2 linked regions of the Anolis sagrei genome follow. The protein of the gene in region 1 purifies or fractionates together with the protein of each later gene. This does not show direct contact. Links are inferred from orthologs where the notes say so. Each region holds a gene or a part of one and is shown in the gene's direction. Other genes may lie near its edges.

What was found. The genes of interacting proteins can lie anywhere in the genome.
Region 2: the proteins of SOX2 (region 1) and DNAJB6 purify together in Homo sapiens (affinity purification with mass spectrometry; 3 studies listed by BioGRID and IntAct, with this or other methods). This does not show direct contact. The link is inferred for Anolis sagrei from reciprocal best matches to the Homo sapiens genes SOX2 and DNAJB6.

What each region holds. Positions count from the first base shown.
Region 1 is NC_090023.1:258,758,241-258,764,343, forward strand, and holds SOX2 (transcription factor SOX-2), read left to right. Parts: upstream 1-3,202; 5' UTR 3,203-3,964; coding exon 3,965-4,987; 3' UTR 4,988-5,049; downstream 5,050-6,103. UniProt on the Homo sapiens protein: Transcription factor that forms a trimeric complex with OCT4 on DNA and controls the expression of a number of genes involved in embryonic development such as YES1, FGF4, UTF1 and ZFP206. Binds to the proximal enhancer region of NANOG.
Region 2 is NC_090026.1:119,106,166-119,112,268, reverse strand, and holds the start of DNAJB6 (dnaJ homolog subfamily B member 6), read left to right. Parts: upstream 1-1,612; 5' UTR 1,613-1,785; intron 1,786-4,987; exon of another isoform or gene 4,988-5,076; intron 5,077-6,103. UniProt on the Homo sapiens protein: Has a stimulatory effect on the ATPase activity of HSP70 in a dose-dependent and time-dependent manner and hence acts as a co-chaperone of HSP70. Plays an indispensable role in the organization of KRT8/KRT18 filaments.

The sequences.
Region 1 (6,103 bases):
GTGGAAAGGGCCCTGAATGTGGACTCAGCTAGCCCACTTCAAAGCAGATATTGTGGGATTTTCTGACTTGATATTCTGAGATATAGGGCTGTCTGGAAGGGACCTGAGTGTAGACTCAACTAGCCCAGTTCAAAGCCGGAATTGTGGGATTTTCTGACTTGATATTCTGGGATATGGGGCTGTGTGGAAAGGGCCCTGAGTGAGGACTCAGCTAGCTCAGTTCAAAAAGATATTGTGGGGTTTTTGACTTGATATTCTGAGATATAGGGCTGTCTGGAAGGGCCCTGTGGACTCAGCTAGCCCACTTCAAAGCAGATATTGTGGGATTTTCTGACTTGATATTCTGAGATACAGGGCTGTCTGGAAGGGCCCTGAGTGTAGACTCAGCTAACCCAGTTCAAAGCAGGAATTGTGGGATTTTCTGCCTTGATATTCTGGGCTGTGTAGAAGGGGCCTGGGTTGTTGTGAGTTTTCCGGGCTGTCTGGCTATGTTCCAGAAGCATTCTCTCCTGACTTTTCGCCTGCATCTATGGCAGGCATCCCCAGAGGTCGTGACGTTTCGCCCGCCATAGATGCAAGCGAAAGGTCAGGAGATAATGCTTCTGGAACATGGCCAAACAGTCCGGAAAACTCACAACAACTAAGTGATTCCGTCCATGAAACCCTCCGACAATACATTAAAGCAGGACTAACGGACCGAGGAAGGAAAGGGGGGGGGGGGAAACATCCTGGCTTCGTTACTCAGGGGTAAGGGGGTGCTTTTTGAGCAGGTGGGCTTGCGGGGTCTTTCCTCACTCGCCCGCCCTTCCCAAAACACAAATGTGGCTGGCAGCATCTGCTTGGAAAATTTTAAATAAGTGAAAAATAAGGGCAGAAGAGTGGGACCCTTTCCCCCGAATTTGCAACAAAACTGAAAGCCACTAGTGATTGCCGAATTTTTCAGGACTTTTTTTTTGTGTCAGGAGCAACTTGGGAAACTACAAGTCGCTTCTGATGTGAGAAAATTGGCCGTCTGCAAGGACATTGCCCAGGGGGCGCCAGGATATTCTGATGTTTTACCATTCTTGTGGGAAGTTTTTCTCATGTCCCCGCACGGGGAGCTGGAGCTGACAGAGGGAGCTCATCCACCCTCTCCCCAGATTCGAACCTCTGACCTGTCGGTCTTCAGTCCTGCCGGCACAAGGGCTGAGGGGGGAAAGGAAGCCTGAGGCTGTTAGGAATGGTGGGAGTTGAAGTCCAAAACACCTGGAGGGGCCAAGTTTGCCCGTGCCTACTGTAAATGCACCCTGAGCTGTATGTCTAATATCTAGCAATAATCCACAGAATAGAAGAGTTCCTCTGCCTCCTCGCCTTTCCTGGCTCCTACCTCTCTTCACCCCCAAAAACAAGGGCTCAGGGAGGGAACATGGATGTGTGTGCCTGTGCCCCCTCTTCTCCTTGTTATTTATTATTATCACCATAATTATTATTAGTATCCTGCCTTTGTCTCTAGATTGGGGTGGAAAGTGGTTCACAACATTTTTTTTAAAAAGTGCTATTTCATATCTTTAACATACAAGTATTAAAATAGAATTAAACAACCAAATCGATTAAAATTCTTTAAAAGACTTAATGAGTGCTAAAATAATCCCATGCCTTGCAGCTACCCCCCTGGCTCCCTCTCCAGAACCTCTTTCTTTTAAAAGCCTACTTGTTCTTGGACCTGTGCACCTGCTTCCTAGGGCTGTTTGAGGAGGGAAATAATGGCACCTTTTTAAAATACTTTTTTTAAATAGTTGGGGGAAATGTGAAGGGAGGAGGTTGCTGGAGCTGGAAGGGTTTCTGGCTGGAAAAAAGGAGATTCTGTGACTCTGAAGCACTGAGATGGTATCTGTGTGTGTGTGTGTTTGCACTGAATCCCTCCTCCATGTGAGGAAGAAAATGTTGAAGGGGGTAGAGAAAGGCTTTTAATTATTTCATGGAGGGCTGTGTGATAATCTGGAGGAAAGGCTATCCCTAAACTGGTTGAGGAGGCCCAGTTTGGGAAGAAGAGGAGGCTTGGTGGCATCTGCCCCTCTTATGGTTGACTTCCCAGGGACTGTTCTGCTAACATCAGGTCCTTTTAAGAAGCCCGGTGAGGACTAGGAGGATGGACCAAGGATCTTCTCGCTGAGCTGAAAGTTTGAGGCAATAGCCAAGGAGAGAGTTTCCTTCTTGCCAAGGGACACTTGTCTGAGAAGGCCAGGGCAGGTTTGGGGTGGGCCTGAGGCCTTTCTTTCCAGGTTGACTTCCCAGGGACTGTTCTGCTAACAAACAGGTCCTCAAGAGGGCCTTTTAAGAAGCCCAGTGGAGACCAGGAGGGTGGACCAAGGGTCTCCTCCGCTGATCTGAGAGTTTGGGGCAAAAACCATGGAGAGAGTTTCCTTCTTGCCAAGGGACCCTTGTCTGAGAAGTCAGGGCAGGTTTGAGGTGAACCCGAGGCCTTTCTTTCCAGGTTGACTTCCCAGGGACTATTCTGCTAACAACCAGGTCCTCAAGAAGCCTTTTTAGGAAGCTCAGTGAGAACCAGTAGGGTGGACCACGGGTCTCCCTGGCTGAGCTGAGAGTTTGGGACAAAAGCCAAGGAGAGAGTTTCCTTCTTGCCAAGGGACCCTTGTCTGAGAAGGCCAGGGCAGGTTTGGGGTGGGCCCGAGGCCTTTCTTTCCAGGCTGAAAGCAGCAAGGCAAGTGGGTTGTGGAGCTCTCACTTGCTGCTTTCAGCCTGGGAAGAAAAGCCCAACAACCGCGGAGGGTGGAAGAGCCCACGCGCGTCCACAGGGAGAAGTGGGGCCAAGAAGGCTCCCTCCCTCTCTGGGCCTGGCTTAAAAGAGAAGAGTAGGGGGGAGCCAAGGGGCAACCTCCCTTTCCTCCTCTCTAGCCCGCACTCAAGTGAAGCCGTTGCCGTTGTTTGTTGTTGTTGTTGTTGAACGCGTCCACACGGCCGTTTGCGCGCTCCCTCCTTCCCCCCTCCCTCCCCGAGGCGTGTGTGTGACCTGTTGCTTTGCAAAGAGGAGCTCGGAGGGGCCCTTTTGAGTGGCAGCCTCCATGTCCCGCCTCCCCGCCCTGAAGCCGCTCACGGCTGGATACTAGTGTGTGTGTGTATGGGGGGGGGGGGGGGAGCAGTGAGTGAGTGAGAGAAGCCCCGCCCCCTTTCATGCAAAACTCCCATCCGAGGCCGGCGCTCAGTGGAGGAGCCGGGCGAGCTCTGATTGGCCGAGGCGAAGGCATTTATTCCCTGACAAGCCCCCCATCACATGGATGGTTGTCTATTAACTTGTTCAAAAAAGTATCAGGAGTTGTCAAGGCAGAGAGAGAGAGAGAGAGAGAGAGAGAGAAAGGCGAGGAGAGAGAGAGAGAGAAAGAAAGAAAGAGTTTGGGAAGAAAGAAAGAAAACAAAACAAAACAAAACAGGGGGAAACAGAGACTTTTCCCCCCCATTTTCCTCCCTTTGCGGGCTCTTTAAGACTTAAGAGCTCCCGAAAGAAAGAAAGGAAGAAAGAAAGAAGGAAAGGAAGGAAGGAAGGAAAAAAAGGGGGCGCCGAGTGAAGAGAAAGAATAGGGGAGACGGAAGAAGAAGAAGTTTTCTCCAGCAGGACTTTCTCCCAGGCGCCTTTGTTATGATTCTCCTGGAGTAGCCTGAGAGTAGCCACCCGAAGAAGGAAGGAAGGAAGGAAAGAAGGAAGGAAGGAAGGCCGCTGTTGGCAGAGAGAGAGAGAGGAAGAGGAAGAGAAGAGGAAGAGGCTGGTCGGTGAAGGGAGGCTCTGCTGCTTGGGGGGGCAGCCTCTCCTTCCCTCCCTCCGACCCTCCCTCCCCAGCAGCCCGACTTCTGACTTTTCCTGCCTTGTGGGCTTCCTTCCTTGACTGTGTGCTTGGCTGCCCCTCTGCCCGCTTCCCCTCCTCGTCGTTCCCCTCCTTGGGGTGTTGGGCCTCTTCTCCCCTTGGCCGCCATGTACAACATGATGGAGACGGAGCTGAAGGCCGCGGCCCCGCAGGCGACGGCCACGGCGGGCGGCGGTGGCGGCGGCGGGAACAACGGCGTGTCCGGCGGCGCCAACAGCCAGAAGAACAGCCCGGACCGGGTGAAGCGCCCCATGAACGCCTTCATGGTGTGGTCCCGCGGGCAGCGGCGGAAGATGGCGCAGGAGAACCCCAAGATGCACAACTCGGAGATCTCCAAGCGGCTGGGCGCGGAGTGGAAGCTGCTCTCGGAGGCGGAGAAGCGGCCCTTCATCGACGAGGCCAAGCGGCTGCGCGCCCTGCACATGAAGGAGCACCCGGATTATAAATACCGCCCGCGGCGGAAGACCAAGACGCTGCTCAAGAAGGACAAGTACACGCTGCCGGGCGGGCTGCTGGCGGCGGCGGCGGGCTCGGGCGGGCTGGGCGGCGGGGTGGGCGTCGCGGGCTCGGCGCTGGGGCCCGGCGGGTGCGCCCAGCAGCGCATGGACGGCTACGCGGCGCACATGAACGGCTGGTCCAACGGCGGCTACGGGATGATGCAGGAGCAGCTGGGCTACTCGCAGCACCCGGGGCTCAACGCCCACGCCGCCGCCGCCGCCGCCGCCGCGCAGATGCAGCCCATGCACCGCTACGACGTGAGCGCCCTCCAGCAGTACGGCGCCCAGCCCTACATGAACGGCTCGCCGGGCTACGGCGCCATGCCCACCGCCGCCTCCTACGCCCAGCAAGGCGGCTCCTCCGCGCCCCCCGGGGCCATGCCGCTCTCCGCCATGGGGCCCGTGGTCAAGAGCGAGGCCAGCTCCTCCAGCCCCCCCGTGGGCAGCGCCTCCGCCCACGCGCGCGCCCCCTGCCAGGCCGGGGACCTCCGGGACATGATCAGCATGTACCTCCCCGCCGCCGAGGCGCCCGAGCCCGGCAGCGCCAGCAGACTCCACCTGGGGCCCCACTACCAGGGCGCCGGGGGGCCCGGGGCCGCCCTCAACGGCACGCTCCCGCTCTCCCACATGTGAGCCTCCCATGCCCCCCACTCACCCACCCACCCCCACGCTCCCCTCCCGGGGCGGACGGATGGACGGACCAAGCGGGGTGCAGACTCTCCGTGAACTCCTTCCCCGCGCCTCCGCCCCGCTATTTTTGTACAGAGAAGGAACTGGACAGGGCCCCAAAGACTCGCCGGGGAGGGGAGGGAGGGGAGGGGGTCTAGAGAGAGGAAGAGAGGGAGAGAAATAGAGGGAGCTCTCCCTCCCCCTCTCTCTCCAGCCGTCGGGCCAAGGCCCCGTCTCCACTGGCCAGGGAATGAATGCGCCCCCACTTTGGTGTCATCCAACTCCTTTCCTAGGTCTGCTTCACCTGCACAGGGAAACTCTTCCTTCAAGACCGGTTCGAAGTGGCATTCAGTGGTCAATGCAGATGGGTTTTTTTTCCCCTGACCCAAAATATGTTTGTTTTATTTCCCTATCCTTCCTTCCTTCTTTCCTTCCTTCCTTCCTTTCCCAGGTTCCAACGCCCCACTCACTCAGTGCTTGGTGTCATCAGACTGCTTCCTATGTATCAGGCATGGGCAAACTTGAGCCTTCCCTCCAGGGTTTCGGACTTCCAACTCCCACCATTTCTAAGAACCTCAGGTCCTTTCTTGAGAACCTTTCCTGAGGCTCTTAGGAATGGTGGGAGTTGAAGTTCCCCTTCAACGGCCGAGGGGGAAAAGGTAGGGGCCTGAGGTTCTTAGGAATGGTGGGAATTGAAGTCCAAAACACCTGGAGGTTTAAGCGGCTGAAGAGAAAATGAAAGGGCCTGAGGCCGTCAGGAATGGTGGGAGTTGAAGTCCAAAACCCCTGGAAACTTCAGCGGCTGAGGAGGGGAAAGGAAAGGGCCTAAGCCTGTTAGGAATGGTGGGAGTTGAGGTCCAAAACATCTGGAGGCTTAAAGCGGCTGAGGGAGAAAAGGAAAGGGCCTGAGTCTTTTTGGAATGGTGGGAGTTGAAGTTCCAAAACACCTGGAGGCTTAAGCGGCTGAGGGAGAAAAGACAAGGGCCTGAGGCTGTTAGGAATGGTGGGCGTTGAAGTCCAAAACACCTGGAGGCTTAAGCGGTGGAGAGGGAAAAGACAAGGGCCTGAGGCTGTTAGGAA
Region 2 (6,103 bases), on another chromosome or scaffold:
AGATGGCTATCCAGCCTCTGTTTAAAAGCCTCCAAAGAAGGAGCCTCCACCACACTCCAGGGCAGAGAGTTCCACTGCTGAACAGCTCTCACAGTCAGGAAGTTTTTCCTAATGTTCAGATGGAATCTCCTTTCTTGTATTTTGAAGCCATTGTTCCACGTCCTAGTCTCCAGGTCAGCAGAAAGCAAGCTTGCCCCCTCCTCCCTATGACTTCCCCTCACATATTTATAACATGGCTATCATGTCTCCTCTCAGCCTTCTCTTCCTCAGGCTAAATATGACCAGCTCTTTAAGCTGCTCCTCACAGGGCTTGTTCTCCAGACCCTTGCCCTCCTCTGACCACATTCCAGCTTGTTAACATCTCCCTTCACTTGTGGTGCCCAGAACTAGACACAGTATTCCAGGTTTGGTCTAACCGAGGCAGAATAGAGGGGAAGCATGACTTCCCTGGATCTAGACACTAGACTCGAATTGATGCAGTCCAAAATTGGCTTTTTTTGCTGCCACATCACATTTTTGTTGTCACAACTTGTTGTCCACGAGGACTCCAAGATCTTTTTCACATGTACTGCTCTCGAGCCATAATATTACAATATTATTATTATATATTATATTTTATTATTATTAGTATTATATTACATTACATTAAAATATTAGTAATATATGTATATACAATACATTATATTATTAGCATAGTACAATATTAGTATTATATATTATTATATTGTACCATACTACTATACTGGAATATAATTAGTAATATTATGTATAATATATAACATATAATAATTATATTATTATATATTATTATCTTGTATTGTAGTATTATACCACAACACATATACCACCAGTATATTATACTATTAGTATTAAATAATGTATTGTATTATATCATAAATTGTAGTATATATAATATATATTATATTACAACATTATTCATTATATATATATTAGTGTTATTATATTACTATTATTTACTATTGTATTACAATAGAATAATATTGCAGTATAATAACATTAATATATTATTAAAATATTTCAAAATTATAATATTATAATATTATTGATATCAATATATAAATAAGAATTTAATGTTTGTTTGTGGGATTAACATAACTCAAAACCCACTGGACAAATTGACACCAAATTTGGATACAATACACCTATCAAGTCAATGAGTGACCATCTATATAAATAAACATGTAATGTTAGTTTGTGGGATTAACATAACTCAAAACCCACTGGACGAATTGAGACCAAATTTGGACACAAGACACCTATCAGGCCAACAAAAACTGAAAAACACAGCAGAAGAGACTTAAAAAACCAAAAAACAAAAAATACATTACAACACATGCACAAAACCTCATATATACACAAACACACACGCATATATATAAAATGTGGGTGGGGATTAAGAGTTTTCATGTATGTATGTGTCAGAAGATATTTCCCTTTTTTTCTGTCTGTTTCCTGAAACTCAGAATTTCCCACTTTGAGACACATCAAGGAAGAGTGAACCTGGAATTTTCACAATGACGTCTCACTCTTCCCTTTGTTTATAGTAGATCTATGGTTAAGGGGGGGGCGGAGCTTACGGCGGTTGAATCGGCCGCTTCCGGCGCGTGACGCACTTCCTCTCCGCGGCCCTCAAAGCAGAGAGGGACGGTCGTTGCCGTCAGTCACGGTTTGTCTTCGTTGTTGTTGCCGCCGCTCAGCGAAGGCAAGTAGGCCGCGAGGGGAGAGGGAAGGATAAGCAGAACGACGCCGAAAGGGAATCTTGCGGTGAGTGTCTGTTTTCTCGGGCGGGGAAGCGAGTCGGCCTTTTCCCATCTCCCTGAACCTTTGGGTCCTTCTGATTGGCTGAGGGGCACTGCAGGGGGCGGGAGGGGGGCACCAAAGCTGATTCCCTATTTGCTGCTGGGGGCGTCGCTTTCCCCTCGTGACGCGCTTGTCGTCAGGCAGATTTCCTTCCTCTGTTCAGGTCCCTTATTCCCCCTCCTATGGTGAGCCTGGGCTGTAGTATCTGAACTCCAGATTTAAACAGAGGTTGGCATTAAGGCGTTTGATAAACTCTTTAATTTAATTGACTAGGCTTCCTCCCTCTTATTGATAGATGGTGGTGGGATATAAATAAAGTTTATTATTATTATTTATGCTAATATGTGGCATTAGCATAAATGAATATAATAAGGTTTTCTTAGACGAGGAATGCTCACAGTTGGTTTGTTAAAGTAATCTGTATTGCCTGATACTCGTTGACAGCCCTTCTGAACTCTGGAAAGGTTCATATTTTGGAGCTGCCACTCCCAGAATCCCCCCAATCAGCTATTTTATGGAAGCGACGGCCCCAAAAGACAACTTTCCCACATACTATGGTCTTCCAGGTGTTTGAACTCCAGTTCCCACAATCCCTGGTCGCAGGTTCGAATCCGGGGAGAGGCGGATGAGCTCCCTCTATCAACTCCAGCAACATTAGAACCTAACATCAATAAATTAAACCAGTCATAATCAAATAAGAATTGTACAATGATGTAAAATCTGAACATAAAACATTCAAGGAGCCCCCGGGGTGCAGATTCAGAAAATTGCATTGGATAGACCACATCAGCTCTAGTTTCTGATACAGAACATACTCCATCCAGTAGTCACCATCTGCTCACCCACAGAAAATGGAGCCCCCAGTGGCGCAGTGGGTTAAAGCCCTGCGCCGACAGGACTGAAGACTGACAGGTCGCAGGTTCGAATCCGGGGAGAGGCGGATGAGCTCCCTCTGTCAACTCCAGCTCCTCATGCGGGGACATGAGAGAAGCCTCCCACAAGGATGATAAAAACATCAAATCATCCGGGTGTCCCCTGGGCAACGTCCTTGCAGACGGCCAATTCTCTCACACCAGAGGCAACTTGCAGTTTGTCAAGTTGCTCCTGACACGACAAAAAATAAATAAATCCCTGATCATTTGCCAGGGCAGCTGAGGCTTCTGGGAGTTGAGGAAGAAGAAGAGTGAATAGTTTTGGATTGTTTTCAGGGATTTTCATTGACTGGTTTGTTCAATTCTATTTTAATATGTTATTTATTTGTTTTATCTGAGTTGATTTTTACCCCGCTTTTCTCCCACACCAAGACTCAAAGCAGCTATCAATACAATAAGAAACTTAACAAAGTAAAAATGAAAGATTTAAACCTGATAAATTCCTTATAGCAACCTGATTATCTAAAACTGTCAGTGATAAGGCCCTATTTACAAATACAATATAAATATTTAAAACCTTTAATTAACCATATTGAGAGCTTAATTCCCATATCCTTTAATCTAGAGCAGACATAGGCAAATTTCATCCCTCTCGGTGTTTTGGATTTCAACTCCTACAATTCCTAACAGCTAAAAGTTTGCCCATGCCTGCTCTAGAGACCATCTACAATTTTAATTTCCCTTAAAGACCTGTTCAAACATAAAGATTTTCACTCCTTTCCTAAATGATAAAAGAGTAGGGCAGCTCTGATTTCTCTAGGAAGGGCGTTCCACAAAGCTGGGGACTTCCCAGAAAAGGTCCTCTCTCGAGTAGCTTTAAGCAGCATTTGGGATGGGTGTAGAGGTGTCAGCAGTCCCCGCCCCCACCCACACTCGATTGAAGTTGCCTTTCAGGTACATAGTAGGAGATATACTTGGATTTTAAATGCTTTTTTTTTCTTTTTTGAGTCGTTTTGCATCTCATTTGAGATAAAACCAGGATATAGATATAACAAAATGATATTGATGATAGTGTTCAAAACACCTGGAGAACTAGAGCCTGGGATTCACTGGGCTAGATATTTTCCTTTAATGGCTTTATAAACTGGTGTCAAAAAAGGGGAAACTTCAGAAGTCCAAAATCTGGCTCGAAAAAGGAGGAAAATATAGCAGTAGCTAAGTGGTGATACATCAGAATTGTGAAATTCTTGACGAATAAATTTATATTTTAAAAATTACACAAAAAATAATGGCAGAGGATTATTGGTGAGAATAGGAGCACCAATGCTCATTTGGAGACCTCCCACAGGAACGCCCACTCTTCAGCATCACTAACGGGCAAATCTGAAAGATCCTATCATACATTAAATTAAGCACATTCAGCCGTTTCTATAAGATAATTGCTCCCCAACTCCATAAATCTCCATTTCTACACACTTTTGAAACAGTTTACAGATAAGAGTCCCATGTCTGACCATGGTGCTTCATGTCAATTATGACCCTATGAATTTCATAGGATTTTCTTAGATTTGCTGTTTTTGTTGTTATTGTTAAAATTTACCAGTTAAAACCTATTAATATGCCTAAAATGTTACACAACAGTTCTTGATATTCATTACCAGGCCTTCTGGGCTTGGGAAAGGTTCATCCTTTTGGACTGCCACTCCCAGAATACCCCATCCAGCTATTTTTTGTTGACTGGGGGATTCTGGGAGTCACAGTCCAAAAAGGCACCTTACCCATTTGCTGTGGAAGTGTTTTGGGGAAAATGAACCAAGTCCAGATCGTGTGTATGTGTGTGCATCTTCGAGTCGTCTGTTCACTTATTATGACCACATGAATTTCAGAGGGTTTTCTATGGCAAGGAATACCCAGTTTTCCAGTTTTTTCTTCCAAAATAGTAACCAGGGCTGAGTTTGCTTAGCTTCCAAGATGAGACAGGAGTTTGGGTCATTTTGTATTTAGACAATAGTCTTCTATTAATATACTTTCACATGTGCTGTAGTGTATTAGGTTGTTAGGAGTTAGGGTTTTTGGGGGGGGGGGGGGTTGTCTCTTTTTCTTTGCACAATCCAGACAAACAGGAAGACCTTCAGCCTCAGGAGAGGAAGTACTAGAACTGGAAGAATTGCACCCCTTGGCTCTGTTGGTAGGCAGGTTAATTTGACTTCTTCAGGAAGACAACAAGGAGTTAATTTTCTAGAGCAGAAGTAGAGGGACGGGCTAGTCTTGGAGTGAAAAGAGGTGGAATGGAAGAGGAAATTTTGTACTTGTTTAGGAGGAGCTCAGAGCTGTTTCAGAATGTTAGGCCTTAGAATATGAAAGACAGTGCTTCTCATGAAAGGCAAGCGTTTTCTTACATATTATTATTATTATTTGGGGAGTGCTGCGGTGGACCCCTTGTGGCTTATTAATGTGTTACTTGTAGAGTGCTAGATTGCTGATAATTTGTTCCCGTCAAATGCCTTCGCCATTTACTTTTTCCTTGGTTTTTCACCCATTTTTAAATTTTTCATTATAACTTCCCCTTTCATTAGGTGTATTTATACACTGGGGGGGGGGGGGGGTGGTGGTGGTGGTGGTGGTAAGGTTGCAGCTTAAGCCAAAAAAGTAAAGCCATATCTTTAAAGTCTATGTGTTTTATATATTTCTTTTAAAAAGTTGATTAGAAGTGTTCTGTATAAGGTTCAGTTTCAGTTAAGTAGCAATTACTCCTGTGTATGTAGGTTAGGGTTCCTCCAGCCAGTTCTACAAAGTGTATTTTTCCAAACTGATGCAACCGATTTTTTTGTTGATTAAAAATGAATGAGTGCTTATATTGTTTAATTTCGTTAGCCTTACAATTCAAGGGCAAGAGATTTAAACAAATATGTATTAAGGTAAGATGGATGAATAGAATAATGAGGCTATTAGATCTTTTAATCTACAAGTGCTACAAATGACTGCAAAACATGTTCTGTACTAGTGATATTGGCAAACTGTTTCTTGATTGGCATTGAGGAAACAGGAAAAGATTGAGTTGCATAGAGAAATAGTCTGGTTGTAACCAGAAGCTCTAAAACAATTTATAAATTAAGAATTTTCCCCTTTTTCTTTTTGGCTAATTTTTGTAGCTATATTGGGGGGGGGGGGGGTGATTGATGAAATCTTACCTAGTTAAATTACTTCTGTGTTTACTGCAGGGAATTATTTTTCCAATTTATATCACTTTAACATTTTAAAATTTTTAAATGTAATGTTCCAGACTTTAGGCTAACTGTAGTAGTGGAATTTATGCACTTTTTTAACTCTATTGCGCTGAGCAGCGTTGGTAGTTAGATCTGTCCAAACACAAGCAAACCTGATCAGAACAACAAAAAGTGGTTTTTGGA